7 linked regions of the Macaca mulatta genome follow. The protein of the gene in region 1 purifies or fractionates together with the protein of each later gene. This does not show direct contact. Links are inferred from orthologs where the notes say so. Each region holds a gene or a part of one and is shown in the gene's direction. Other genes may lie near its edges.

Evidence for each region.
Region 2: the proteins of SNRPF (region 1) and CDC40 purify together in Homo sapiens (co-immunoprecipitation; 3 studies listed by BioGRID and IntAct, counting the BioPlex papers as one, with this or other methods). This does not show direct contact. The link is inferred for Macaca mulatta from reciprocal best matches to the Homo sapiens genes SNRPF and CDC40.
Region 3: the proteins of SNRPF (region 1) and TGS1 purify together in Homo sapiens (co-immunoprecipitation; 3 studies listed by BioGRID and IntAct, counting the BioPlex papers as one, with this or other methods). This does not show direct contact. The link is inferred for Macaca mulatta from reciprocal best matches to the Homo sapiens genes SNRPF and TGS1.
Region 4: the proteins of SNRPF (region 1) and DDX23 purify together in Homo sapiens (co-immunoprecipitation; 3 studies listed by BioGRID and IntAct, counting the BioPlex papers as one, with this or other methods). This does not show direct contact. The link is inferred for Macaca mulatta from reciprocal best matches to the Homo sapiens genes SNRPF and DDX23.
Region 5: the proteins of SNRPF (region 1) and RBM22 purify together in Homo sapiens (co-immunoprecipitation; 3 studies listed by BioGRID and IntAct, counting the BioPlex papers as one, with this or other methods). This does not show direct contact. The link is inferred for Macaca mulatta from reciprocal best matches to the Homo sapiens genes SNRPF and RBM22.
Region 6: the proteins of SNRPF (region 1) and PRP4K purify together in Homo sapiens (co-immunoprecipitation; 3 studies listed by BioGRID and IntAct, with this or other methods). This does not show direct contact. The link is inferred for Macaca mulatta from reciprocal best matches to the Homo sapiens genes SNRPF and PRP4K.
Region 7: the proteins of SNRPF (region 1) and RNPC3 purify together in Homo sapiens (co-immunoprecipitation; 3 studies listed by BioGRID and IntAct, counting the BioPlex papers as one, with this or other methods). This does not show direct contact. The link is inferred for Macaca mulatta from reciprocal best matches to the Homo sapiens genes SNRPF and RNPC3.

The regions. Positions count from the first base shown.
Region 1 is NC_133416.1:103,187,300-103,191,358, forward strand, and holds the start of SNRPF (small nuclear ribonucleoprotein F), read left to right. Parts: upstream 1-1,259; 5' UTR 1,260-1,381; coding exon 1,382-1,384; intron 1,385-3,360; coding exon 3,361-3,486; intron 3,487-4,059. UniProt on the Homo sapiens protein: Plays a role in pre-mRNA splicing as a core component of the spliceosomal U1, U2, U4 and U5 small nuclear ribonucleoproteins (snRNPs), the building blocks of the spliceosome.
Region 2 is NC_133409.1:15,228,226-15,232,763, forward strand, and holds the start of CDC40 (pre-mRNA-processing factor 17), read left to right. Parts: upstream 1-1,669; 5' UTR 1,670-1,687; coding exon 1,688-1,876; intron 1,877-4,538. UniProt on the Homo sapiens protein: Required for pre-mRNA splicing as component of the activated spliceosome. Plays an important role in embryonic brain development; this function does not require proline isomerization.
Region 3 is NC_133413.1:66,444,114-66,447,988, forward strand, and holds part of TGS1 (trimethylguanosine synthase), read left to right. Parts: intron 1-2,220; coding exon 2,221-2,370; intron 2,371-3,875. UniProt on the Homo sapiens protein: Catalyzes the 2 serial methylation steps for the conversion of the 7-monomethylguanosine (m(7)G) caps of snRNAs and snoRNAs to a 2,2,7-trimethylguanosine (m(2,2,7)G) cap structure.
Region 4 is NC_133416.1:55,993,904-55,997,778, reverse strand, and holds part of DDX23 (probable ATP-dependent RNA helicase DDX23), read left to right. Parts: coding exon 1-24; intron 25-266; coding exon 267-410; intron 411-509; coding exon 510-735; intron 736-1,037; coding exon 1,038-1,183; intron 1,184-2,836; coding exon 2,837-3,014; intron 3,015-3,824; coding exon 3,825-3,875. UniProt on the Homo sapiens protein: Involved in pre-mRNA splicing and its phosphorylated form (by SRPK2) is required for spliceosomal B complex formation.
Region 5 is NC_133411.1:159,661,342-159,665,216, reverse strand, and holds part of RBM22 (pre-mRNA-splicing factor RBM22), read left to right. Parts: intron 1-1,681; coding exon 1,682-1,782; intron 1,783-1,867; coding exon 1,868-2,040; intron 2,041-2,866; coding exon 2,867-3,067; intron 3,068-3,875. UniProt on the Homo sapiens protein: Required for pre-mRNA splicing as component of the activated spliceosome. Involved in the first step of pre-mRNA splicing.
Region 6 is NC_133409.1:179,185,713-179,189,587, reverse strand, and holds part of PRP4K (serine/threonine-protein kinase PRP4 homolog), read left to right. Parts: intron 1-591; coding exon 592-745; intron 746-3,875. UniProt on the Homo sapiens protein: Serine/threonine kinase involved in spliceosomal assembly as well as mitosis and signaling regulation. Connects chromatin mediated regulation of transcription and pre-mRNA splicing.
Region 7 is NC_133406.1:136,788,958-136,792,832, reverse strand, and holds part of RNPC3 (RNA-binding region-containing protein 3), read left to right. Parts: intron 1-510; coding exon 511-643; intron 644-1,286; coding exon 1,287-1,349; 3' UTR 1,350-1,354; intron 1,355-2,851; 3' UTR 2,852-3,875. UniProt on the Homo sapiens protein: Participates in pre-mRNA U12-dependent splicing, performed by the minor spliceosome which removes U12-type introns. U12-type introns comprises less than 1% of all non-coding sequences. Binds to the 3'-stem-loop of m(7)G-capped U12 snRNA.

The DNA.
Region 1 (4,059 bases):
AAGATTTCCACAATTGTTGAAAGAGCCTGACACATAGTAGGAACTCAAAGTCTGTACAAAGACTTAAAGTTCATGAAACAATATACAAACTAAGGAAGAAATCCACTTAAGTTTAGGGTGAATAAATCTAATAACTGTTTGGTAAAAACTACACTGACAATGACTGTCTTGTCAGTGTTCAACACTTATGTGAAACACTGAGCTTTTACAAGGCCAAGCCCCGTTTTAGGTTAAATTCTCGCAACCACGCTGAGGATGGTTCCGTTTTTAAAGCCGCGTTCCTGCCGTGGAAACAGTGGCCCTGAGGGTTAAGACACTGCCCAACACCGGCTGCGCCTGATAGACGCAGGTTCCGAATGCAGGCCCTCTCCAAAGTCTTGCCCACTGCTCCACAGTGCCTCAACAACCAACATTTCATCCTCAACCTCAAATCCATCTCTTCAGGGCCGCAAAAAAGCGTTACTTCCCAAAGGGCGTGTTCTCCAAGAACTGCATTTAGCATTTCAGATCAGAGTGAGCCGAACTCACTAGGATTACGACAAAAACCAGTGAGATTCAGATAACACCGTTACGTCGAAAGTTTTAATCCGTGACAGCGGAAATATTGCTTACGCCCTTAGGTAATTTCAAATGCACGTAAGAAGGCCGTGCCAGTCTCTGCTGGCGATGCAAAAGAAAGATGGGGCCGGCGGGGTCGTGGGGGGTGGGGGGACATGACACCGTATCCCAGACACAACCTGACCTCGTTTAAAATAAATTCTGTATCCGACTCCCTTCGGTGCGTTTCACCGCCCCTAGTCTTGTCTGGCTACCCCCGAATTCCTTTAAAAGGGGTTGAAATGGGTGTTGCAGAAGAGAGAATACTCAGGTAGAAACGGCCTGCGGCAGAGGCGCCCCCAAATCATGGAACCTGTTGGAAGAGTGAGGAAGGAACTCTGGGATCCTGAACATTCTCACGGGTGTAAAAAGACAAAGTAAAATCCCCATTAACCAAGTTGGGGAGAAGTCACATCCGTCACACAGCCTCTCCCAGACCGCACATTTACAACACCGGCCTGCCTCCAGTCCTTGGCTGCCTCACCTTGCTCCTCAGAGCGGGTTTCCCAAGACCCGCGCGCAGCCGGCCAGGCGCAAACTCAAGCCGCTGCTGGTTGCCAGGAGATACTGGTCCAACCATCTCCTCCAATCAGCGCGCATCTCTTTTCGTCCAATCACAGAGGCAGGAAGGGCCGTGGTGGGAGGTGAAAGGTCACACTCCTGTTTGGCGGCCATTTTTCTTGAAATTCAGCGGCTCGGGACCTGGGGTACCTGCTGTAGTCACGAGGGACAAGCGGCAGCCTGGTCGGCAGTGAGTAGCCTGCAATATTCGGCCGTGGTTACGATGGTAAGGAGAACGAGAACGGCGGGAGAAGCGGGGAGAAAGAGAAGGAGGGAGACCACCTCGCGGGGCCTAGTGGTTGCTTCGCGCGTTTCCCATTCATCCGCGTGAGGCGCCGCGCACCCGGTCGCCAGCTTCTTTCACTCTGCTTTTAGGATTTCTGAGGCGCGTGCTCCTCCCGATGCCTTTCTTTTTCTAGGAGTGCCCGTGCCTTCTCCTCTTTGTTTGAATCCGGGCTTGGGATATTCTTATTTGTGGCTACAGGGTCGGGGTAAAACTCAAAGAGAATTTGCACTTCCCACTTAACCACACTCCAAAATTCACTTTCATTGCATGAAAGTAATGATACGGCCATGCTCTAGTTTAACTCGGTTGGGGAAGACAGACAGTCAAAAAATAACAAATATGCAATTGCAAGTAATAAGTGCTAAGAAGAATGCAGACAGGAGGCTGTGAGGGTGCGCGTTAGACATTTAGAGGCTTAGTCAGAGATGGCCTCCCTAGGAGGTGGAATTTAACCTGAAGCCTAAGTGTCATGAAATAGACCCTTTAAAGAGCAGGAGGAGGAGTGTACCGAGCACAGAGAATAGGCGCATAAGACCTGCGGCCGGAAAGAAAGCTTGGTCAGTTGGAGAAATTGACAAAAAGGTACAGCCACTTGCAGGAAGAGTGGTTACGAGATGGTGTCGGAGGAGCAGGCGTTGGACAGGACCTCTTAGGCTGTATTGGGAGGTTTTGATTGTACTCCAAATCAATTGAAAATGATTGAGTTGGAAGCCATTGAATCATTTTAAGCAGAAATATGACAATTTGATGTGCACTTTAAAAAATCATGTTGCTGTGGTGGATAATAAATTGGAGAATGAAAACTGGAGACCCATTAGGTTATTGGAGTAATCGCCGCATCAAGTCACTCCGAATATGTTTATGTTAGAGGGGGTTAGTAGCCAAGTTTCTTAGTTCTGTTCTTTCTTTGACTGGTGAGTGAGCAGAAAAAGGCAAAAACCGAATTCACTGGAGATGTTAATGGTTTGCTGAGCAAACTTTAAGTGATTGCTATAAGAGGCAGTGCTAGTGACAAAGTCATTTAGGACCTAGCCCTAGCTTCCACAGTTAAAGACTGTCAAGCGTCATCTGCCCTCTGCTTCCTTCTGTAGTCTTATATTTGGGACTTTGACTGACAATGCTGAATTGTATGTCCCCAAAATCACCTTGTTGCTTCACTCTTCCCTCCTTTTACATAAGTAGCTAGCCTTGCCTGGAACAGGATTTTTTCCCGCTCTGGAAATAAATTCTCATTCTTTAAAACTGAGGTTAACTTATTTCAGGCAACCTTTCCTTTTTTCCCTGGATTGCTTCGGTACCCTTGTGCCTAGTATATCTCCTCTTATTATGTTGCAATATGCAGTATAATTATTTGTATGTGAGGAGCCCCCCTCCCCATCTCCAACTTCTTGACAGGGACTCTGTTATTTATTTATGACAAGGTCTTGCTCTGTTCCCTAGTAGCCGGGACTACAGGTGTGCACCACCACATCTGACTATTTTTGGTAGAGAAGGTGGTCTCACTATGTTGCCTGGGCTGGTCTTGAAATTCTGGCCTCAAGTGATCCCCCTGCCTTGGCCTTCCAGAATGCTGGAATTACAGATATGAGCCACCCTTTCTGGCCCGCATTTTTTTTTTTTTTAAGTGCCTTTATCTTTGTTTCTTTAGAGCTCAGAACAGTAAGTGATGTATGTAGTCGGTGTTATCTTAAGTGAATAGTGAGTATTTTGTTTTGATGGGTTAAAGGTGATACTGGCTAACTGGATATTTAAATTTCCCTGGTACTCTCCAATAAATGAAAGTGAAAATTGTGTACTAAAATAATGAGTCAAGAGTTTTCTTCATTTGCATACCACAAAATATTGGTATTTAGTAGAAGAGAGTTGGTGGTGGGAGGAAAAATAATTAATTGGATCCTTTTTTGTTCTTTGTGCAGAGTTTACCCCTCAATCCCAAACCTTTCCTCAATGGACTAACAGGAAAGCCAGTGATGGTGAAACTTAAGTGGGGAATGGAGTACAAGGGCTATCTGGTATCTGTAGATGGCTACATGAACATGCAGGTAAGCTAAAGAGCTGTAAAGGTCATAACATTGCATTTAGTTTGCTTCACCTTATTGCTCAAAGGTTTAGTCTGACTAATAAGAATACATACAATTAAATTGACAAATGTACGGCAAAATTAAAAAATAAAGTCAAAGCCAGGGAGGATACTATGATATACTAGGTACAAGACATGGACTTAAACCAGAATTCAGCCACAGATTTTATTCCTAGTAGTTAAAGTAAGAAGAGCTCAGACATTTAATTCATAATAATACTGTAAGGGAAACACACTACTTTGCTGGAGAAAACAAAACATTTCTCATCATTTAGCCCTGAAAGAAAGTTTTCAAGTGAAATTCATGAGTCTTTTAATGAATGATGCTAAAGGCACAACACCAAAGTTATTGAGGAAATTCATTCCTTCAGGGGAAAGACACATCTGCCGAAGAAATTGAACTGACTGTATGTCTGTCAAATGAGTTTCTGTAAATGATTCAGCCATGTGTTTTGGTGGGGTTTTTTTTGTAATTAATTTTCTTTTTATTGTGGTAAAATATACATTACAATTTTGCCACTCTAACCATTTTTAA
Region 2 (4,538 bases), on another chromosome or scaffold:
GAAAAATGGGAAAGGTGCAATGGATGCTGCATAGTTGAATAATTATCTGGGTGGCACAATGGGCGAGTCCTGCCGACATGAGCGCTGAGTGAGCGGCTCCCTAACTCTGCCCGAGGCAGCCCCCACGAACGGGCACCAGAAGCGACGGCACTGCTTCGCCTACCCTTCCAACCAAGAAAAGGATGCCTGCACTCGCTTTTTTACCGTTATGTCTTTAGACACCGACTCGCGGAGCAAACACGCAAACGCACGAGCCGGCTTTACTAAGCTCCAGGCACGTAGAGCGAGCAGAGGTTTCTCTGTCGCCCGGGGCTACCGCCTCCCCCGGAAAGAGGCACGGGGCGGACCGTGGGCGCGGGTGGGCAGGGAAGCCCGGGCGGTGGCACCTCAGGTGAGACCCGCAGTCTCTCCGGCGAAAGCAGCCCCGGGGCGGTCCCTGCAGCCGAACCCCGGGCGCGCCCGCCGCCGTCTCCCTCTGCACCCAGCCCGGCTGGCGGGTGGGCGGTGGGCGCTCGGGAAACCCGCGGATGGGGGTGGGGGCCGGGGCGGGGGAGGCGCGCCCATCCATCCCCGTCACCTATGCGGGCCACACACCCCTCGGTCTGCTCCGGCCGGTGAGGAAGAGTTCCTCTCCCAGCACCCCCTCCCCGAAAAAAGCAATTCCTCAGGGACTCGCGCTCACCGTGAAATCTTGGGGGCTCTCGCTTACCCCTTCTTCATGCTTCGGCAGCGGTCGCCGGTCCCCCTCGGCTCGCGGGACTCCACCTAGGGCTCCCAGGAGGGTCGGGCTCTGGGGCGGAACCCGCTCAGGACAGCGGCCGAGGCGCCAGGCCACTGGGAACGCCGCCTGGGGCGCCCACCGGCCGCCGGACCCACCGTGTGCTCGACGCGCGAGTGAACAACACCGCGAGCTGCCGCTCCCCCCGCCCCCTCCCCGCGCGAGACGCTCCACAACCGGACGCAGGGACCCGCGCCAGAAGCAGGGGGGACCGCGGGACTCTCTCCGGCTATGGTCCCATCCTTGCCCCGTGCCCCAGGAGCTATTCCCGGCCAGTCAGAGGTCTCAAAACTTCAGATTCTCACTTTCCTCTTCACCCTCGAGTGCCCAGGTGCAGTCGAGGTGGGAAACCCAGCCTCGGCCCACTCCTCCATCGGTGGGGCCGAAGCTCGCTCTTCCCCCCTTTCCTGAGGTTCTGTGGTATTGCCCAATCCTCAGTTTGGGGGAGGGGGACGGAGAGAACAGTGCTTGGCTAGGGAATGAGGGAAGATGACAGCCAATTGAATGGAACATCCATTCGGGGGCGGGGTCAAGGAGGGACCCGCCCCCGTCCCGCCCCCTCGTTCCAAACTACACTTCCCATTGTGCCCTCTGGTGCTTCCTGCCGCGCTGCACGCTGGGAGTGCAGGACCGCGAGGCCTCAAGGTATTTTGGAACTCGTATTCTTTAGTCAACTAGGTCCTGAAAGTTATAAGCTATTATAATTCTCTCTTTTTCCCTAGATAAACTTTTTTAAGCTCTCATTTCGACAGTAGTTATTCTAATAATAATTAGCTTGTTGTTTTAAAATGTAAGAAATTATTTCTTAGCAAAGAAAGTTAATGATGTGTTCCATGGCAATCTGTCAGGACCTGGGAGCCTCCTCTTCTTCCGCCCTGACAGGGTCCCCGCAGAAGATTTGTTGCCGTCATGTCGGCTGCGATTGCAGCTCTGGCCGCTTCCTACGGTTCGGGTTCAGGGTCCGAATCGGACTCGGACAGTGAGAGCAGTCGATGTCCGCTGCCAGCCGCCGACTCCCTCATGCACTTGACTAAATCGCCTTCAGCCAAGCCGTCTCTAGCAGTGGCAGTGGACTCGGCTCCGGAGGTGGCAGTTAAGGTAAGCACCTTTGCTACTGATGCGGTGTGGGAATTGTTGGCTTCAGCTCCAAAACTGCCAGCCGCTTGTTAGGTCCCGGCTTACCTCATTGCTCAGAGATAAGTTGCTAACGTTTGAATTTCTTCTCCTTCCCACATGCATCCTCGGGAGAAGCAGAATTGGAAGTTCGGAATAGCCCCCCGATGCTCTCTGCCCTTACCTCCCGCCATCAGAAAGCAAGTGGAAAGAGGGGGTGAAATTTGAATTTGTGAATTAGGGACATAGCCTGTAAAGTGCAGATGTAATCTCGGAACATAAATAAAATTAGATCAGGACTTCCCAAACTAGAGTATTGTACCTTCACTTGAAGTGAGCAGTGGCCTCGATTTGTTTTATTTTTGAAAAACTAGGTTCTAATCCTGGCACCACCACTTATGTGAACTTGGGCAAGTTATGCAGCCTCCTCTCTTTCCTCACCTGTACAAGCGGAGATCATTTTCAAAACACCTGTCTACATGAGAAGATGAGTGTGAAAATTGAGTGAAATTACACAAATAAAGCATATAGCACAGAGCCTGGTAACTAGTGAGAGTGCAGTAAATGTTTTATGATTATGTATGTTAATACAGTGAGAAAAAGGCCTTGGATTTGAGAAACAGCTGCATGATCTCAATGGAGGAAGCTGATTCAGGCAAGAGTTTCCAGGCAAAGGTGACAGGCAAGCCTGAGAAGGCAAAGAGCTTAGTGTGTTTGAAGAACTGAGGAAAAGCTGATGTGTCTAGAGCCTGATGAGAGCATCTACCAATTGATAGTGTAGGCCCAGTAGAGCCCGAGGTAGGTGATCAGCTCAAGATGTGAAGATGGGAGGCGGTGTCCAAAAATTCCTTTGTATCATGTCCCCAAGTCTAGTTTAATGACTTAAGGAGTGTTTTACAGATTTTTAACAAGCTGTCTGTGAATTTTACTTTTTAAAAATGGGCATCTGGCATGAAAGAATGCTTAGAATCCTAACTTCCTATCAAAACAAAACTTTCCAAACTTACGCCCCTCCAGTAACCTCCTGAGTCTTCTCCTTTCACAGCTCAGCTTTTTGGAGCTCTCTTTTTGTCTTCATCTCATTTTCTCCTCAACCCGATGCAGTCTGGCCCTACCCTCTTGGGAAACTGTCTGTGAGTGATGTCCCAGGCCTTGCAGTTGTCAGGTTCAGCCATCTGACTTAAATGTCTGCATCAAATGACACTGTTCATTAGTTCCTCTTTCTTGAAACTTTCTCTCCGTTTCGCTTCCATGGGGCTCTACTCAGCATTCTGTTCCAATTATTTTACTCTTTTCAATACTGGTGTTTCCTAGGACTCTGCTCTTGGTCCTCTTTGCATTCCACATATTCTTCCATACCTTCAACCTCAGTCTGTGCTGCCCCTAGCTCAAGGTGAACACCGTGAAATGGTTAGCACAGGCTCTGGAATTAAGACTGTAATTCAAATCCTGCCTCCAGCACTTACCCACCTGGGGACCTTGGATAAGCTGCTTAAATGCTCAGCACCTAATTTTTACTGATCTGTAAAGTAGGAATAACAGTAGTACCGATCTAACAGAATTATAAGAATTGCCATAAAAGATGTAAAGCCCTTTTAACAGTGCCACATGTTTGCTATCCTTTTATTTCCAGTTCTATCCTCCTTGCTAGCTTACAACCTTGAGAGGTATATAAAAATCTCCCACTGTAATTGTACATTTGTTTCTTGCAGGTTGGCACTCAGCCACCTCCAGTTCAGTGTGTTGAAAAATTATTTTCTTTCCCTCAAAATCCATTTCTGTTTTCCCCATTTTGATCTATGATCCCACGATCCACCCACTAGTTCAAGCCAAGAACAAAGGAGGTATCCTTTTCTCTTCCTTCTTCCTCAGCCCCTGAAGCTAGTCATTCAATTGATTCTAACATTTCTGTTTCATTAATTTATCTCATATCAACTCCTTCCTCACTATTTTCACTGGTGCAGGCTTCATATCTTCCTTATTTCTCCCAGGAGTTATTCTTTTCTTTCTCTTTCAGCCTCTTCTTTTGGATAGTGGGTCCTGTCTACTTTAACTCAATGATATTCATCAAATCTCTCTCTTCTGCTGCCACTGCTTAGTTCAGATTCTCATCATTTCTCTTCAGACAGTTGTAGCTTTCTAACTGATATTTCTACTTCTTCCTTTCTTGTCTCCCAGTGTTATACCCCATTCTTTTCTCCACAGGGCACCTAGAATGATCTTTGTAAATTCCACTTGCGTCCTATCACTTCCCTGCCCAAAGACACCGTATTGTCCAGTGGGTAATTTCTAAGTTTTTTTGGTAGCATGTGAGGGCTGCTATTCTCCCATGCTGAACTCTTTACAAAGCCCTGAAAGCCAAATTTTCTTTCTTCCTCTGAAGATTTTGCCCACGCTAGTCTTTCTGCCTGGAAATCCCTTGCCTAGTGCCTCCTTCCCCCATTCCAAACACTATGGTCCTTCAGTCTCACTGCGCGTTTCCTCCTATTCTACCTTAGCCCCTTTATCATATCTTAACTATAGCACTTAGCACATTGCCGTGACTTGTTCATCTTTTTCTTTGCCCTGGACTGTGAGACCCTGGGGTCCAGAGACGTATCCGTTCGTTTGTGTCTCCGGTGCCTAGTACACAAGATTACGGAAGTAT
Region 3 (3,875 bases), on another chromosome or scaffold:
GTAGAGTGCAGTGGTGCGATCACAGCTCACTACGCCTTGACCCCCAGGGCTCAAGCAGTCCTCCCACCTCAGCTTGAGTAGCTGGGACTACATGCACATACCACCATGCCTGCCTAATGTTTTAATTTTTTTTGTAGAGATCCAGGGTCTCACTATATTGCTCAGGCTGGTTGCCAGAGGTTCAAGCAATCCTCCCACCTTTGCCTCCAAAAGTGCTGGAATTACAGATATGAGCCATCATGCTCGGACTGTTTTCTTTTTGATATTTTTTTATTTTGTGTGTGTGGTTGATGATGGTCATGTGTTTTTGATGGCACATTAATTTAAAAAGTATTCAGAGTAGTTGGCTCTAATGAATGAACTGAGTAATATCTTCAATTTATGCACTTTTGTATTAGAATTTTTATAACAAAAGCTCTTATATAGTTTAATAATGGTATTATGAAACATTATATTTATTGTGATCATCATTTTTCTTAATTTATTACTATGGAAAAAAACTTGAGTCTTGTTTTTTTTTTTTCTTAGTGCAAGTGTGGTTGCGTGTGTATCTCTGATCTATCACTTATTTCTTTACATTCTAAACAGCATACCTATAGTAGTTTACATTTCTTTTATTATCAATGTTATAATAACTGATGTTCATATGACATTTGTAGGTTTCTGAAATGCTTTTATGTGCCTTATTCTCATTTAATCTGTAAGGTAGCCCAAGGAAGTAGGTGGAATTATTTTCCCTTCTGGAAATACAGAAAGAAAAGCTGAGAGAAATATAAAAATTAACCCAAGTAAGTGGCATAGCTAGGACTCATTACCAGCTTTCTCCGATTGCTAAGTCCCATTTTCCTGCACTACCCCACTTCCATGAACACCAGTTCTCATGATGTTGGTTGTTCTTACCTGGGGTAGTACCACCTTCATAGAGGCATTTGGAAGATGCTGGTTGTTAGAATGACATTAGAAATTCTGGCATTTAGTACTCAGTTACTTAATGTTAGGTCATGTACAAGATGGTCTTGCACAATAAAGAATTATTCCACCCACAATGTCATTATACTCCCTGTTGAGAAATAATCACCGTACTTTGCTATTGGTGACACTTTTGGGGATGGGAAGATCTGACCTTACTGACTCATGATGACACTTTTTACTATTTACAATGATAAGATAAATGTATTAGGACATAGCCCAATCCTTGAGGACCATTTGAGTGTGTAATGGAGTCTTATTCTTTGTTAGCCATCACCTCTTGTTTTTATACTTAACTCTGAAAAAGAGTCTCATCTGTCTATGTTGTTGCTTCTAATTTGCTGAGGACTGAAACCAAATAACCAAACTGATAAAAATTAATTAAGGAAAAAATCAGTCTCTGAATGAATGAGATCGTTTTCTATGGAATAGAGCTGGTGACCCTTGTTTCAGGTTCTCAGATGCCAGGTGACTTTGATGTGGCTGAGAGTTAGAGCCTAATCTAGTCCTTGATAGAAAGGAAATGTTTAGATTCTGTAATTCACCACATAAAGCAGTATCTTGGCTAACAGAAGTAATAACTTTTATGTCTATAGCAGTATTTCTACATATTTCCTATCATTGCTGTGAATTAAGTTGGTTAAATACTACTCACTAACTAATTCATTCTTTTTTCTTTTTTCTTTTTTTTTTTGGAGACAGAGTCTTGCTCTGTCACCCAGGCTGGAGTACAATGGCACATTCTCAGTTCTCAGCTCACTGCAATATCCGCCTCCCAGGTTCAAGCGATTCTTCTGCCTCAGCCTCCCAAGTAGCTGGGATTACAGGCGCCTGCCACCGTGCCAGGCTAAGTTTTTTTATTTTTTTTATTTTTTCAGTAGAGATGGGGTTTCACCATGTTGGTCAGGCTGGTCTCAAACTCCTGACCTCAGGTGATCCGCCTGCCTCGGCCTCCCAAAGTGCTGGGATTACAGATGTGAGCCACTGCGCTCTGCCCATTCATTCCTTTTATAGGAATTAATAATTGGAGCTTAAAGAGCCTCGGTTACTTTTCCAAGCTTACAAAGCCAATGAGTAGCAAAGTGCTGGCAGTGATTGAAACCAATGGCATTTCCATCAGGCTTTCCTATTTCTCTGGGCGTGTCATTATATACATCTTCTGCTTGTAATTATTTGGTGTGGCTTCATTTTTAGATAAACTCATCTGTGATACTAATTTTTTCTTAGCATCTATATTCTTTATTATTTTAGCTGAAGTTAAAAAGAAGAAGAACAAGAAGAAGAACAAAAAGGTGAATGGTCTGCCTCCTGAAATAGCTGCTGTTCCTGAGCTGGCAAAATACTGGGCCCAGAGGTACAGGCTCTTCTCCCGTTTTGATGATGGGATTAAGTTGGACAGAGGTAAAGTATATATGTATTTTTTAGCTTTATTTTGAAACCATTTAAAATTTACAGAAAGTTGTAAGAATAATACAAGGAATGTTCATATCCCCTTTCCCAGATTCAGCTATTTTCAACATTTTGCCCCATTTACGTTCTCATTCTGTCTCCATTTGTATGTGTGTGTATCTTTTTCTGATCAGTACTTTCATGCCCATACTCCTTAATACTTTAGCATATATTTCCTAAGAACAAGTATATTGTTGTTTAAAACAGTAAATTATCAATTTAACATTGTTCCAATATTATAATCTACAGTTTATACTCTAGTTTCATCAATTGTCCTAATCTTGTCCTTTATCACATTTTTTTTTCCTTCCAGTATAGGATCATTTATTGCATGTATTTTTCATGTTCTTTAGTTTCCTTTAATCTGGAATCTTTCCTTAGCCTTTTTTGTCTTTCATGACTAACATTTTTCAAAGGATCAATGGCCATTTATTTTATAGAATGTCCTTCAATTTGGGTATATATATGTGTGTGTGTATTTTTAAAACTTCAGATTTGGGTTTAATCTGTATTTGTAGCACCTTAGGATAGATAGCAAAAGCGATTGATAAGTTATTAAATGGAAAACCTGATCAAGAAATACCTAGTGCAGAAAGACACAATTTAATTAATTAACTTTGCAAGTTTTGAATTCTTTCTCCAACTTTCCTGCCGTGATCTGCAACAACTTACTTAACTCAGTCTTGCAGACTGATGCTCATTTTCATGTTGGGGTTACCTCAATATTGGTTTTTATTAACTATCAAAATCAGAAGTTCTTGATCTATGATGGAATTTCAGGGGTTCTCCAACCCTTTTAAAACAATTTGCAAAATGCTGTGTATTGGAAGAAGAAGTACATAGGAATTTATAAGGAGAAGTAAGAGTGGAAAACACTTGCAATTATATAAAAGTGTATATTCTTATTTTTCCAGTATCGAAGAGCCATTTAAAGTTTGGTAAGGGGAGGCAACAGGAAAAATTAACACACATTATTTTTATTTATTTCTTTTTCTTTTATTTTATTTTTATTTTTATTTATTTATTTATTTATTTATTTTTGAGACAGGGTCTCACTCTGTCACCCAGGCTGGAGTACAGTGGCACAATCTCGGCTCACTGCAACCTCCACCTCCCAGGCTAAAGCAATCCTCATGCTTCAGCCTCCTAAGTAGCTGGGATTACAAGCAAGCACTATCATGCTTGGCTAATTTTTTGTAGAGACAGGGTTTTGCCATGTTTCCTGGGCTCAAGTGATCCACTACACCCAGCCCAGCACATAATTTTGTTCAGATAAATGTCTTTCTGAAAAAATGTGAATTTTTCCTACTAGGAAAGAAGGAGGTCAGTATTCTGTTTCCTCTAGAATGGACACAAGAGCTCATTTCTGAAAATGATGAGAGCTCTGCTCTTCCTATTCTTCTGCAGCCCTGTTGCCTTTTGCTATCAGCTCCTGCTTTTTCTGACCCTTTAAAAAC
Region 4 (3,875 bases), about 47 Mb from region 1:
CACATCCATTGACTACAACCCCCTGTGAGTGGCTTCAGGCCTGAATTCTAGGTCTTTTCCACTAGGCAGTCCTAGAGAGCTGATGACTACAGAGGTGGAGGAAGTCAGACAAGCCGGGATGGAAAATTGGTAGACTGGTAGTCAGCCAGCCCTCTGGTGGAAGAAAGACCCTGTCCAGGAGGAACTGTTTCATATTAGTAGTCTGCCCTTCCCTCCTACTGCCATAACAGCTGCTTCTTTTTTCTTTTCCTCTGTCTCAATCCCAGGTATAAAGAACGGCACCAGGTGCAGTTGTTAGGGCGAGGCTTCATTGCAGGCATTGACCTCAAGCAGCAGAAACGAGAGCAGTCACGTTTCTATGGAGACCTAATGGAGAAAAGGCGAACCCTGGAAGAAAAGGAGCAGGAGGAGTGAGTGATCAAGGCTAGGGTGGCTGGACAGAGCCCAGAGACTCTACAGAAAGGAGTTGGAGGGCACTGATTCTACTTACTCCTCACATCCTGCTCCAGGGCAAGACTCCGTAAACTTCGTAAGAAGGAAGCCAAGCAGCGCTGGGATGATCGTCATTGGTCTCAGAAAAAGTTAGATGAGATGACGGACAGGGACTGGCGGATCTTCCGTGAGGACTACAGCATCACCACCAAAGGTGGCAAGATCCCCAATCCCATCCGATCCTGGAAAGACTCTTCTCTGCCCCCACACATCTTGGAAGTCATTGATAAGTGTGGCTATAAGGTAAGGAGGGGTAGATTGGCCCAAAAGATCTGAAATGTTCCTGCACTAGTTTGGGAATAGAGAACTTTGTTCCTTGACTATTTGGAGCCATCCCTGCTATTGGGTACCAATGTGACCTTTTCTGTCACTTTCTGGTAGAAGCGTCAGCTTTTAGTGATTATGTTTCTTCTTGGGGTCCCCATTTCTGTGCACTGTACTTGGCATCCTTCCATTGCACTAGCAGATATGCTTACTACTATCAGTGGTAGCCCAGGTTGTATAATTCTGCCTGTACCTATTACTCTTTCTCGGGGTCACTGCAGGAACCAACACCTATCCAGCGTCAGGCAATTCCCATTGGGCTACAGAATCGTGACATCATTGGTGTGGCTGAGACTGGCAGCGGCAAGACAGCAGCCTTCCTCATCCCACTGCTGGTCTGGATCACCACACTTCCCAAAATTGACAGGTGGGGTCAGCTGGCACCAGCTGGAGTGGGTTTGTCTGGGTAGGAAAGGTGAAAGTGGCAAAAGAATGTGTGTTTTTTGTTTCACGTCTATAATCGGAAGCTTGCTTCTTTATTCTTGGTTCGATATTAGGGAATAATTGGATCATGATATCAAAGAATTATATGTTGCTGGCAAAGACCTGGAGAACTTTGCTATCCTGGAGTCTCTGATTTTTATTTTTTTATTTTATTATATTTATTTTTTTGAGACAGAGTCTCACTCTGTCACCCAGGCTGGAGTGCAGTGGCACGATCTCGGCTCACTGCAACTTCTGCCTCCCAGGTTCAGGTGATTTTCCTGCCTCATCCTCCTGAGTAGCTGGGAATTACAGGCATGTGCCACCACACCCAGCTAACTTTTGTTTTTTTGTTTTGTTTTGTTTTTTTGAGATGGAGTTTTGCTCTTGTTGCCCAGGCTGGAGTGCAGTGGCGCAGTCTCGGCTCACTGCAACCTCCTCCTCCCAGGTTCAAGTGATTCTCCTCCCTCAGCCTCCTGAGTAGCTGGAATTATAGGCACCCGTCACCACGCCCGGCTAATTTTTTTGTATTTTTAGTAGAGACGGGGTCTACATGTTGTTCAGGCTGGTCTCTTAACTCCTGACCTCAGGTGATCCGCCTGCCTCAGCCTCCCAAAGTGTTGGGATTACGGGCATGAGCCACTGCGCCCGTCCTTAATTTTTGTATTTTTAGTAGAGATGAGGTTTCACCATGTTGGCCAGGTTGGTCTCAAACTCCTGATTTCAAGTGATCTGCCTGCCTTGGCCTCCCAAAGTGCTGGGATTACAGGCGTGAACCACTGCACCTGGCCGAATCTCTGATTTTTATTTATTTATTTATTTATTATTTATTTATTTTTGTTTTTTTGAGATGGAGTCACGCTTTGTTGACCAGGCTGGAGTGCAGTGGTGTGATCTTGGCTTACTGCAACCGTTGCCTCCCAGGCGCAGATCCTCCCACCTCAGCCTCCCAAGTAGCTGGGATTACAGGTGTGTTCCAACATGCCCAGCTAATTTTTGTATTTTTTGTAGAAACAGAGTTTTACCATGTTGCCTAGGCTGGTCTCAAACTCCTGGGCTCAAGTGATTCACCCACCTCAGCCTCCCAAAGTGCTGGGATTATAGGCTTGTACCATTTTGCCTGGCCTCTGGACTTACTTTTTTTTTTTTTTTTTTTTTTTTTTTTTTGAGACAGAGTGTCTCTGTCAGGCTGGAGTACAGTGGCACGATCTCAGCTCACTGCAACCTCCATCTCCTGGGTTCAAGCAATTCTCCTGCCTCAGCCTCCCGAGTAGCTGGTATTACAGGCGCCGGCCACCACCCCTGGCTAATTTTTGTATTTTTATTAGAGGCAGAGTTTCACCATGTTGGCCAGGGTGGTCTCAAACTCCTGACCTCAGGTGATCCGCCTGCCTCAGCCTCCCACAGTTCTGGGATTACAGGTGTGAGCCATAGCGCCCAGCCCTGGCCTCTGATTTTTGAGTGAGATCATTTCATTCTTTTCTCATCATCCTCCCCATTCCCATCGCTTCCCCTAAGAGTGACTTTGTCTTGCTCTGGCTTGTGGTTGGATAAGAACCAAAGCTCACGAAGCTGTGGGATGCCCCATTTACCACAGAATCGAAGAGTCAGACCAAGGCCCTTATGCCATCATCCTGGCTCCCACCCGTGAGTTGGCTCAACAGATTGAGGAAGAGACCATCAAGTTTGGGAAGCCGCTAGGTATCCGCACTGTGGCTGTCATTGGTGGCATCTCCAGAGAAGACCAAGGCTTCAGGCTGCGCATGGGTTGTGAGGTTTGTTTTTCTATCTAGCAGCCAGCCTGCTGTCTGGGAAGGCTATCTTGGGGCTTTGTTTCTAGTTTCTGGAATAGATGTGCAGTAGAATGAAGAAAGGAGCTGGTTTATATGTATGTGCTATTTATTGAGAACTTATGCACCAAAGTTTATATTACAAATAGTATATATCATATATATTAGCTCATTAATTCTCACAATAATGTGTGAGAGTAGGTAGTGATATTTCCTTGTTATAGATCAGGCTGAGGTTCAGGTTAATAACTGCCTGAAGTCACAAACAGCTGGCAATGGGCAGAGCTGAGATTCTTATCCATAGCCTGTGCTTTTAGTTACTCTTTACTCTGCCAGACCAAATCTTTGACTTTGTGCATTGCGTTCATCTCAGGAAAGTGGAGGAGAGCTTTTTATGAGAAATCTGCTGTAGAAATTTAGAGTTTTTACTTTTTTTTTTTTTTAATTTAGTCTTTATACAACCCCCTTCATGGTATCCCTTAGTCTCTCCCATCTAAGAAAGTTGCTTCTTCAGGATCTGAAATGATTTGCCAAAAAAAAAAAAAGTTTCTACTGATTTTGCCTCCTCTGTCTAATCCCTGCATCTTACTCAGAGACCTCATTCGTTCCTGAGAAAATCCAGGCAACAAGTGATTTCATGCTGGTTTGCAGGAGCCTTTACTGCTAAACATAACCAGAGGTTGGGGTCCAAGTTCCTCAGCATTGGAGGTCTGTCACCCAAGTGGGTGGATAGTTCACAGGAAAGAAAAGAAGGGGCACCTGCTGGGCTGTAAGTGATTATACTGTACTACTCAGATTGTGATCGCTACCCCTGGGCGTTTGATTGATGTGCTGGAGAACCGCTAC
Region 5 (3,875 bases), on another chromosome or scaffold:
CCCAGCACTTTGGGAGGCCGAGACGGGCGGATCGCGAGGTCAGGAGATCGAAACCATCCTGGCTAACACGGTGAAGCCCCATCTCTACTAAAAAATACAAAAAACTAGCAGGGCGAGGTGGCGGGCGCCTGTAGTCCCAGCTACTCGGGAGGCTAAGGCAGGAGAATGGCGTAAACCTGGGAGGCGGAGCTTGCAGTAAGCTGAGATCCGGCCACTGCACCCCAGCCTGGGTGACAGAGCAAGACTCCGTCTCAAAAAAAAAAAAAAAAGTGGCCTAAACCTTTATCTCTGCAGCCCAAGTGAGGTAAAAGGCATTGATCCTATGACAGATAATTTATTTGCCTTAGGCTTCTTTCTTGATCCAGAGCTTTTTTCCACCATGCCAACCAGAAGCTCACAGGGTAATTGTGCTTTATTTTATTTTATTTTTTGAGTTGGGGTCTCACTTTGTCACCCAGGCTAGAGTACAGTGGTGTGATCACAGCTCACTACAACTTTGAACTCCTGGGCTCACGCCTTCTGCCTCCTGGTATGCCTCTGCCTCTGCCTCCTGGTATACCACCACACCCAGTGCACGTGTGTGTGTGTGTGTGTGTCACTATTTTGCCCAGGCTGGTTTTGAACTCCTGGCCTCAAGCAGTCCTCCCACCTTGGCCTCCCAGAGCCACCACAGCCAGCCTAATTGTGCTTTAGACTTTTGTCTCAATTGTGTTGTGAGAACTGATACATTGCTACTGTTTCAGAGTAACTGCTTTTGGGAGTATTTTTTTTTTCTAAACAGTAGGTGACTGTTTTTCAGAAAGATAATTTTTCAACAAGAGTTTCTACTATTAAAGGAAAGGGAAAATATATATGAGTTTATGTATGTTAAGTTCATTAGAGTTACTCTTCTAGTTAGAGTTCTGGCCACATTTTATGTAATATTATTTATATGTTTGTTAAGGAGGTGTCTGGTCCTGGAGTACAGTGACCCTTACATGACTGTGACTATCCAGATGATCTGTAGGACTAACCAAAGAAACCACTTTTACATTTACTTTAGGTAAATCATGTTGTAATAAAAAGTAGGTGCGTTACTAATTTACAAGTTGAATATGACCATGGGCACAGTTTATTCATCTAAAAATTTTCTTTTATAATTTTTTTGTTTTTGTTTTTGAGACAGGGTCTCACTGTTGCCCAGGCTGGAGTGCAGTGGCATGATCACAGCTCACTGCAGTCTTAACCTTTCCAAGTTCAGGTGATCCACCTCAGCCTCCTGAGTAGCTAGGACTACAGGTGCACACCACCACACCCAGCTAATTTTTGTATTTTTTGTAGAAATGGGGCTTCACTATGTTGACCAGACTGGTCTTGAACTCCTGGACTCAAGCTGTTCGTCAGCCCCAGCCTTCCAGAGTGCTAGTATTACAGGCCTGAGCCACCACACCCAGCCTAAAAGGTTTTCTAAAACATTGATTTCATCAAATTTCCTGACAGCTCAGGAATTTGGACAATTTCTTAGCATGCTGTGTAGCAGAAGTAACCTGATGGTGCTAAAGAGTTTGAATAGAAACATAGTAAGGTCTCTGGTACTAAATAGGAAGGAGGGGAAGGGAAAGGTGATGTATTCTGTGTGCATGGTTAGTATGGATATGTTTTAAAATACATCTGAGGTCTCTCTCCTCTTTTTTTGTACCAGGCCTGCCCATCCAGGTTCGTGACGCAGGATTATCTTTTAAAGATGACATGCCAAAGTCAGATGTCAACAAAGAGTACTATACACAGAATATGGAGAGAGAGGTATGCTGCCACTTTTTGGGTAAAAATCCTAATGAATTGACACAGTCTGTATAATTTATCTTTTGAATTTGTCATCCTCACTTAGATTTCTAACTCTGATGGAACACGACCAGTTGGCATGCTGGGGAAAGCCACATCTACCAGTGACATGCTGCTCAAACTGGCCCGGACCACACCCTACTACAAAAGGAATCGACCCCACATTTGCTCCTTCTGGGTGAAAGGAGAGTGTAAGAGAGGAGAGGAATGTCCATACAGGCAAGAGCCGAGCCTCATTTTCAGTATTTGCTTTCAGATGATTTCTCATCTAAGAAATGGGAGGTGCTAGCTTAAACTGTTTCTGCTTTAAAATCTAAAGGTCATACAACCAATGTGGTGTATCTGATGTCTTAGAACTATGAAATTTAGAAGAGCATGAATAAATTGTAGTTTTTACTTACAATTGAGCCTTGGAAACTAAATTGCTATGCCATACAATATGGATGCTGGCCTTAAACATTTCTACCTGAGAAGTACATCTTCACTGCCATGATTTAAACACTTGACTCTCAATGTATAGTTGAAGTCAAAGTAAGGTCAGACTACTAAAGGGTGTGTATGTTTTGGTTAAGACTGCCAAGCATCTGTATTAGGAGTTCTTAAATTTGGGATTAGTTAACCCTACCCCCTAAAAAATAATATATGTGCTTTCTCTGGAGCTAGGTCCATAGCTTTAATCAGATTCTCAGTGGAATACAATACCCCAAATGTGTTAAGAATCATTGACCTAGAGAGGGGTAATCATGTGTCCCTTTCTAGGGGGCAGGAGGGGGCGGATCATGTCAAGAGTTTTTATTTATAAGGAAAGTTTGGCATCCTAGATGGCCTAATGGCTTTTAGGAGGCTAGGAATTCCTTTTGTCATACAGTAAATCTCTTGGTATTAGGTCTATTTTGGTAATTGTATTTTGGTAGAAACCATAGTTTCTAGTTCAAAAGGCACTTCAGAATGTGTATCTAGGACTTTAATATGTAGCTATTCTTGGAAGATACCATTTTTTCACCTTTGTTTCACCTTTATGCCTTGTTTTTTTCTTGAATCATAGACATGAGAAGCCTACAGATCCAGATGACCCCCTTGCTGATCAGAATATTAAAGATCGATATTACGGAATCAATGATCCTGTAGCTGACAAGCTTCTAAAGCGGGCTTCAACAATGCCTCGGCTGGACCCACCAGAGGATAAAACTATCACTACACTATATGTTGGTGGTCTAGGTGATACCATTACTGAGACAGATTTAAGGTTTGTGGGTATAAGTTAAAGAGTTATTTTTGCCTTTAACTGCCCTGGGATAATTTATTTGCAAAAACTGCAAGGATGATCATTCTGTACAAAATCCATTTTTCTTTAGTCTCTCTACTGTTAGTATCATGCTGACTGGAATTTTTGTAAAATTGTCCTTTATGGTGCCACAGTAATAATGTGCTTATCTGGCTGGGCACAGTGCCTCATGCCTGTAATCTCAACACTTTGGGAGGATCTCTTGAGCTGAGGAGTTTGAGACCAACCTGAGCAACATAGTGAGACCCCATCCCTCTTAACAAATCAAAAAAATTAGCCGGGTGTGGTGGCTTGTGCCTGTAGTCCCAGCTGTTTGGGAGACTGAGGCAGGAGGATGGCTTGAGCTTGGGAGATCAAGGCTACAGTGAGCTGTGATTGCGCCACTGCACTCTAGCTTAAGCAACAGAGTGAGACCCTATCTCAAAACCAAAGCACAAAAAGTGCTTATCCATCCTGGCGTATGGTAATAATGACACAGAATTCTATTTGACCTAACAGCCAGGTTTTAAAGGATGGCACGCATCCAAGTATGATTAATTATGTAGAGGAGGGAGAGCTTTGTGATGATAAAACTCTTATGGTTTAAATTGTTGGCTTTTTAAAGAGACTGGCATTTGATACATTTGTATTATTTTTGGCTTGTATTATGCTTGGCTAGATGAGACATCTGGGCAGATAGTAATGGAAATTACCTCTTCCAAAGAGATAAAGTGGAGAAGAAACTCCTGTAAGTTTATAACCTGCCCTTGGTAGCCTGTCTCCGTTAAAC
Region 6 (3,875 bases), on another chromosome or scaffold:
CACCGGGCTAATTTTTGTATTTTTAGTACAGACAGGGTTTCACCATCTTGGCCCGGCTGGTCTTGAACTCCTGACCTCAATTGATCTGCCCACCTTGCCCTCCCAGAGTGTTGGTGTTACAGATGTGAGCCATCGTAATCCCAGCTAGTCTTTTGAATCATGAATCTACAAACGTTAGTTGACTATACTGTACACCAGGCACTACTCTCATGGAGCCCATAGGTCAACAGAGAGAGTCTCTTAAAATGAAATATTTCAAGGAATTTTTATCTTCAACAGTATGGCTTTGTTGTGTTTTCAAATGTGAATCTATTCTGAAATCGAAATGGGAGTTTTACCTTGCCTATCTTTCTTCCTACTTATTTAGAAAATTGAATTTATTGGGAAACTGTGTTATATACATACAATTTGATACGCTCTCTTTTCAGTATAAAATAATTTATCAAATGTGGGGACGGTTCTTAGGTATTTTTATTGTTTGTATTCTGCACTTGATTGTACTTTACGCTTGCAAATGTTTTTGCCTTTTTATATTTCCATTTTGCATTTTAACTCCTATTTTGTTTTTTGTGTTTTATTTTCTCCTAAAAGTATGAACTTACGAGAGGTGTTAAAAAAATATGGTAAAGATGTTGGTCTTCATATTAAAGCTGTAAGATCCTATAGTCAGCAGTTGTTCCTGGCATTGAAACTCCTTAAAAGATGCAACATCCTACATGCAGATATCAAGCCAGACAATATCCTGGTAAGTCAAACAGTCAAGCTGCACTGTGCATCTTATACATATCTTAATAGCAATATGATTATTATGAGAAATGACAGAAGCATAGTTCAGTATATTAATCACCTATTTCAAGTGACTAATAATTTTTATCTTTCTTGGAAATCGGACAGTGAAATTTTATTGACAAGTATGAAGAAAAAGGAAATGTGCAGTTGTCCGTTTTTTCTCTTTTGATTGATGGATTTAAAGGATGCACCAATCCTGGAATTCTTTAATGTAGTAATAATGAGTTTCTTCTGTTATCTTAAAAAAATGCTGCACATGTTGCTGTTTTGAAATAAAGAGTGTTCCTGCTCTTCTGTTTGCTAATTTTATAGCTCCCCAAGCTGTGGCTCCTGGGGGCCCAAACACAATAAAGCTCAGTTGTGGTTAGGTATTCTATTTAAAGGCATCGCTTTTGAAGTTTTTTTATTTTATTTTTAAACTTTTAAGTTCAGGGTTACGTGTGCAGGCTTGTTACACAGGTAAACTTGTGTCATGGAGGGTTTGTAGCCATTTTTCCTGATTCTCCCACCTCTCACCCTCCAGCCTCTGACGGACCCCAGTGTGTATCGTTCCCCTGTGTGTCCGTGTGTTCTCACCTTTTGCAATCTTCATCCTCTTCCACTAATGACCTCTGGTGGTGATGTGCAGATTCCACAATGTATATGTTTTTGAAATTTTGAAATACATACATATTATAGTGATGGGATTAATGTACACACACACACTCCTCCCCTCCCCGGCCCCATTACTTCACCCTCTTTTGTGGCCTTCAGTTTGGGTCGTGTTCACAAATTGGAGAATTCCAGCTTATCTTCTGGTAACATTCTGCATTTCATTTTTTTAAAATGGGTTCTTTTTATCAACTCTCCTACAGTTGATGCCTAGGAGAGATCCTGAAGGGTGTTCTTTATTGGGAACTGTTGGAGCTATAACAAAATAAATACTTTTTATTTTTTCTTTTGTTTTGTTTTGAGGCAAGGTCTTGTTCTGACACCCAGGCTAGAGTGCAGTGATGCCATAGTGGCTCACTGTAACCTCGAACTCCTAGGCCCAAGCAGGTCTCCTGCCTCAGCCTCCCCAGTAGCTGGGACTGCCCACAGGCATATGCTACTACGACTGCCTAATTTAAAAAAATTTTTTTAGAGATGAGTTCTTGCTGTATTGTCCTGGCTGGTCTCAAACCCCTGGGCTCAAGCAGTCCTCCTGCTGCAGCCTCCCAAAGTGCTGGGATTATAGGTGTGAGCTACCATACTTGGCCAAAATAAATTCTTTAAAAAATGGTGATCTCATTGAAGTTTAAGGACTTTTTATCAATAACTAAGCTCTTCATATTTCTCTTTTTCTTTTTTCTTAATATCTTAAAATATTTCCTTCCAGACAGCCACATTAGTAGTGAGGTGCATTCCATTTTTATATTTGGTCTGAATTATTATTGTATTGTATATCTAATGTAACTTGGAGTTAAGGGAGCTGAGTAATTACATTGAAATGGTAAGTGCATTAAAAATGAATTGTAAATTTGTGTGGCCAATTTCATAGTTGATTTTTACCTCAATTTTTTTTTTCTTTTTTTATGAGACGGAATCTCACTCTGTCACCAGGCTGGAGTGCAGTGGCGCGATCTTGGCTCACTGCAACCTCCGACTCCCTGGTTCAAGCGATTCTCATGCCTCAGCCTCCCGAGTAGCTGGGATTACAGGCAGATGCCACCACGCCCAGCTAGTTTTTGTATTTTAGTAGAGACAGTTTCACCATGTTGGCCGGGATGGTCTTGATTTCCTTAACCTCGTGATCTGCCCGCCTTGGCCTCCCAAAGTGCCAGGATTACAAGCGTGAGCCACCATGCCTGGCCGATTTTTCGTTTTTTAATTGTGAAATACATGGTTCATGTCAAAGAATATACAAAACATGTACAATTTAAAAGGTCATTTACAGTGAGCATCTTTGTAACCATTGTGGAGGTTAAAGAATAACACATTTGCCAGTGTCATAGAAGAAGCTCTTGTTTTTAAAAGCTAATGCTAAACTAGTATAGGTTTTCACATACATTTAAGAAATGTTTTCCCTTTTTCCTGGGGAAGGGAAAAATAGACCTCAGTGACGGAGCTGATTTTTGTTAATGGAAGTCCAAAGCCTTTAGCTCGTGATTTCAGGCATCAGTGTGGTTTTTAAGTACCACATTCCTCATGGCAGGAGTAGAAGTTGTGTAGCAAACTGAAGTGCATATGAGTATGGATACCCTGCTGTTATTTAAGGCATTTTAGCCAGCCCAAGAGTTCCACTGATAAGATTCTAATTTTAAAATGTTTAAGTTTTCTGTGGGTATTGAAACTGCTTAAGTAGCTGAATTCAACTTATACTTTAAAAAGTTTTAAAAGAACTTTTCTATTTTAAGTTGCTTTTCTGATTCCCAAGACGAAAAGAATGGTAATCAATGTGGGAGTTAAAAATAATCATTTCTGTTCCTATTAATAGCTTAACTCTGGGTATCATTTATAATAGTCCAGTCTCCCCACAGAGACTGCCTAAGGCTAAAGTGTTATGCTGCTTTGGGGTGGGAGCAGTAGGCCAAGTTCAAGTCCCAACTCGGAATTTGTGTGTGTCTCTTTTGAAGGGGGGAAGGGACTCTGGAATATGAATTATCTTCACTTGTTAATCCTGAACATGCTTCTGACTCATGAGTGGCAGCAGTCATGGGAGCAACTCCAGCCTTTCTCAGCAGATGTCACTATTACTGTGTATGTTGAAGTATTTACAAAGGAAAAAAGAAACAAATGACTAATATAGAGTTCGTGTTTATCAGTTTTGCCAGATGTATTTAACATTTTCTTGACTAATACCTTCTTTATATTTAAGGGCTAATATTTTTTAGACTTGAAGTGATTGCTAAATTTGGGATGATATAGCAGCTTCGGATGAAGAATGTTTTGTTTTTGTCCAAGTTTAATTTGAATCACCCTTCTGCTTTCATTGCCATCGTAATTCTCTGGCAACTGAAAGTTAACTTAAATATGAGTCCTTAGTAATAAAACTTTATTCAGGTATTCAGGGTCTTTTTAGAAGATGCTTTGCTTCATAAAATTAGCTTTTTCTCTCAGTACCCCAC
Region 7 (3,875 bases), on another chromosome or scaffold:
AAGGTCAGGAGATAGAGACCATCCTGGCTAACACAGTGAAGCCCCGTCTCTACGAAAAATACAAAAAATTAGCCAGACGTGGTGGCGGGTGCCTGTAGTCCAGCTACTCCGGAGGCTGAGGCAGGAGAATGGCATGAACCCAGGAGGCGGAGCTTGCAGTGAGCCGAGATTGCACCACTGCACTCCAACCTGGGTGACAGAACGAGACTCCGTCTCAAAAAAAAAAAAAGGGAAGTTTGCTTTTCTTATTACTAGTAGCATAATTTTTAAATCACATACTTTTATGATAGTTGAGAATAGTTAAAAACATCTTAAATACTACCTACTTGTAGAATCAGTTTTAGTGCAAGAACATGAAATACATTTTTAGAAAACTGAATAATTGACGTGCCTATCAAATGTTTCAGTCACTTTTATTTGAAATAGTAACATTTTAAATTGTCCAACACATTTTCATTCACATCATTGAAACTAACATTCTTTGAATCAAAGCTCTTTTCTTCCTTCTAGGTTTGATATACGTTTGATGAAAGAAGGTCGTATGAAAGGACAAGCTTTCATTGGACTTCCTAATGAAAAAGCAGCAACAAAAGCCTTAAAGGAAGCTAACGGATATGTGCTTTTTGGAAAACCCATGGTGGTTGTATCCTTTAAATCCATCTATTTCAAAACTATAATTTTTAGAAGGGTATAACTGAAATAAATTTTCATGTTACCCTTTAGAAATTTCCACAATTGGCATTCTAGCAGTAGATATTCATTCAGTTACAGTTAAACCCACCTTACTGAGTCAAATGACAGTGTTATTTAGATTTTTAGTAAAGGAGCTTCAGCAGCATGAAGTTGTTCAATTTTAGCCAAGTTTTAAGTGTTTCACTTATGCAGCTCAAAAGTACACAGTTATGCGAAGAGACTAGAGTATCCAGAAGTACATTTGGAGTCATAAAAGAACTAATTCATTTTATCATTTTATTGTAATTTATATTTCTACATGAGAATTTTAATAACCGGAGTATATCATTGATGAACCATCTTGCTTTTAGTAATCAATGCAGTTTGCAAACTAGAAATCAGCAAGATAGGTAAAGAAGCAAAGGCCCAGGTATAAAAAATAATGACTATAAAGGAAAAGTTAATTATTAATTTCCTCTTAAGTCATGGAGTCAGGAGACACTCAAGGTAAATTAAAAAACCATACTCTCACCATACATTAGAACGTTTTTGAGAATTATTTAGAAAAGATTACTTGCATATTCATGAAGGAAACCTTAATTTTAAATTATTAGCAGTTTGCTCGATCTGCTAGACCAAAACAACATCCTAAGGAAGGAAAAAGAGTTAAAAATTAATAAAGGTAAGTGTGAATAAAATGTAATAAGACAAGACAAATTCTTTAGATACAATTAAGAATAAAAGTTTGATAGAGTAGTAATTCGGGTATCTCTTATGTATTTTTTAAGGAAATATCTATCTGTGCAGTTAAGTCCCATTAAACTTCAAAGCTATAACTACAGATTAAAACCCATTTATATGTAAAAGTTAAGTTTGGAGAATGAATCTTATAAGGGGAGTGTGCCAGTTACTTTTTTTTTAATTTTTCGGCCTATAGTAAATCAATAGTTCTTAAACTCTAATATGTATCATAATCACTTGGAGAGCTTAATAAAACACAATTATGTAGGTTCTTTCCTTCCCTGAAAGAGTTTTTGATTTGGTAGGTCTGATGTGGGGACCTAGGGAAGCTAGTTATACCAGTTTTCCTTTTAATGAGGGGATTTCCAGGAAGCCGGACATTTAGTGCCGAAATGGGGAATGTGTCTGGCAAGCCAGGACGAGTTGGTCACCCTTGTTGGCACCTGAAAATTTACAAAATTAATGAGTTTTCAGGTAATCATGAGGCATCTGATCCAGAGACCACAGCTTGAAAACTCCTTGGATAAACACTTACAGATACATTTTCTAACTCTTAAAATTAACCTAGAATAAATGTTAAAAAAAAAAAGTTAAAAAAAAAAAAAAGTCAAACTGTTACTAAAAATAATTCTGGCTGAGGGTGGTGGCTCACCTTTGTAATCTCAGCAATTTGGGAAGTGGAGGTGGGCAGATCACAAGGTCCAGAGATCAAGACCATCCTGGCCAACATGGTGAAACCGCGTCTCTACTAAAAATACAAAAATTAGCTGGGTGTGGTGGTGCATACCTGTAGTCTCAGCTACATGAGCTGCTAAAGCAGGAGAATCTCTTGAACCTGGGAGGCGGAGGTTGCAGTGAGCCGGGATCACACCACTGCACTCTACCCTGGCGACAGAGCAAGACTCCAACTAAAAAAAAAAAAAAAAAAAATTTTTCAACAGTGCTGAGTATATAAAACTATTAACACACTTCACAACAATACATGTTTGTGGACTTACATCTTTTTTTTGTCTTTAAAACAAGTAATTTTAGTGCATACTTAATTTGATGATTAAGTATGGTAGAATTAAGCATTTTAAATGTTAATGTTTGCTACATTGTTCAAGAAATAAGTGGAAATATATTCCTTTGTTTTTTATTTAAATTTTTCTTCCTCTGTAAACTAAAAGAACATAAAGTAAATTGGTCACAATCACAATTGGTGTTTAATTGACAAATATGAATAAATAAGAGAAAATTTTGTTTAATGTTTAGTCCCTCTGAGATGGCTTGAATATTTGAATTGTGTTGTATGTCTATACTGGGTAGTCACAAGTCTTATAAACACTTTAGAGGAAAGATGGATTTCAGTCTGTATTTTTAAAAATCATTTATTTGTAAATCTGGTGCTGAAAAATAAGAAAAAAAAATTAAACTGCATTCTGCTGTTCTTCTTTAGAAGCATTCCTGCGTAAATACTGCTGTAATACTGTCATGCAAAGTGTATCCTTTCTTGTCGTATCCTTTTTGGGGCAGTGTTTTTTTATTTTTTTCTTAGAAATGTTTGTCCTTCCCCCACCTGTTGATCCAGGTTAAGCAATACTTTTTTACACTTTATTCAAATGAAATATTTCTAAAATTGTTTGTATAGATTGAAAAATCTTTTATGTGTTTTTAGATTTGTTGTTGAATTTTCTGTGCTGTCCTTTAGGTTATATAATTTTTTGAGGGAAAGTTAGTGAATCAGGTCAACTTACTTAGAGAATGTGTTTATTTACTTTAACTCAGAATACAGTCTTGTTTCTTCTATTTGTATATTTCCTAAACTTAATTCAATAACATGCTTTCCGTTGTATAATGTATCTGGTTTAGGTATTTATAATATGTTTAAAATTTAATTGGGCAAAGGACATGTTTTTCTTTTAAAAAGTACTTATATTGAAAATTAAGATGTCTGGATTACTATGTAAATTCTAAAGAGTAGCAGACCTCTCATTTAAAGTCTTAAGTGAGTCTCTTTTGACATAGATAGCAATAGAAGTATCTTTCTTCTTTCCCCTTTCTTTTTCTAAACAAGGGAAGAAAAGTGTAATAGAGGGGAGAACACATAATGCCGACTAAGGGTAGTGCATTAAGTCAAAAACAGTCTTGGCAGGTATATAGGAATAGTGGTTTCCCGACTGGTTGATGACCATAATCGCCAAGAACAGTGGTTCCCAGTCTTGGCTGCACATTACAGTGATCTGGAACTTGAATGAAATACTAATTTTAAAAGGGTGCAGTGGTTCATACTTGTAATCCCAGCACTTTGCAAGTCCAAAATGGGAGAATGACTTGAGCCCAGGAGTTTGAGACCAGCCTGGGCAATGTAGGGAGACCCTGTCCCTACAAAAAGATACAAAAAGTAGCCGAGTGTGGTGGCTTCCACCTCTGGTCTCAGCTACTTGGGAGGCTGAGGCAAGAGGATCACTTGAGCCCCAGAG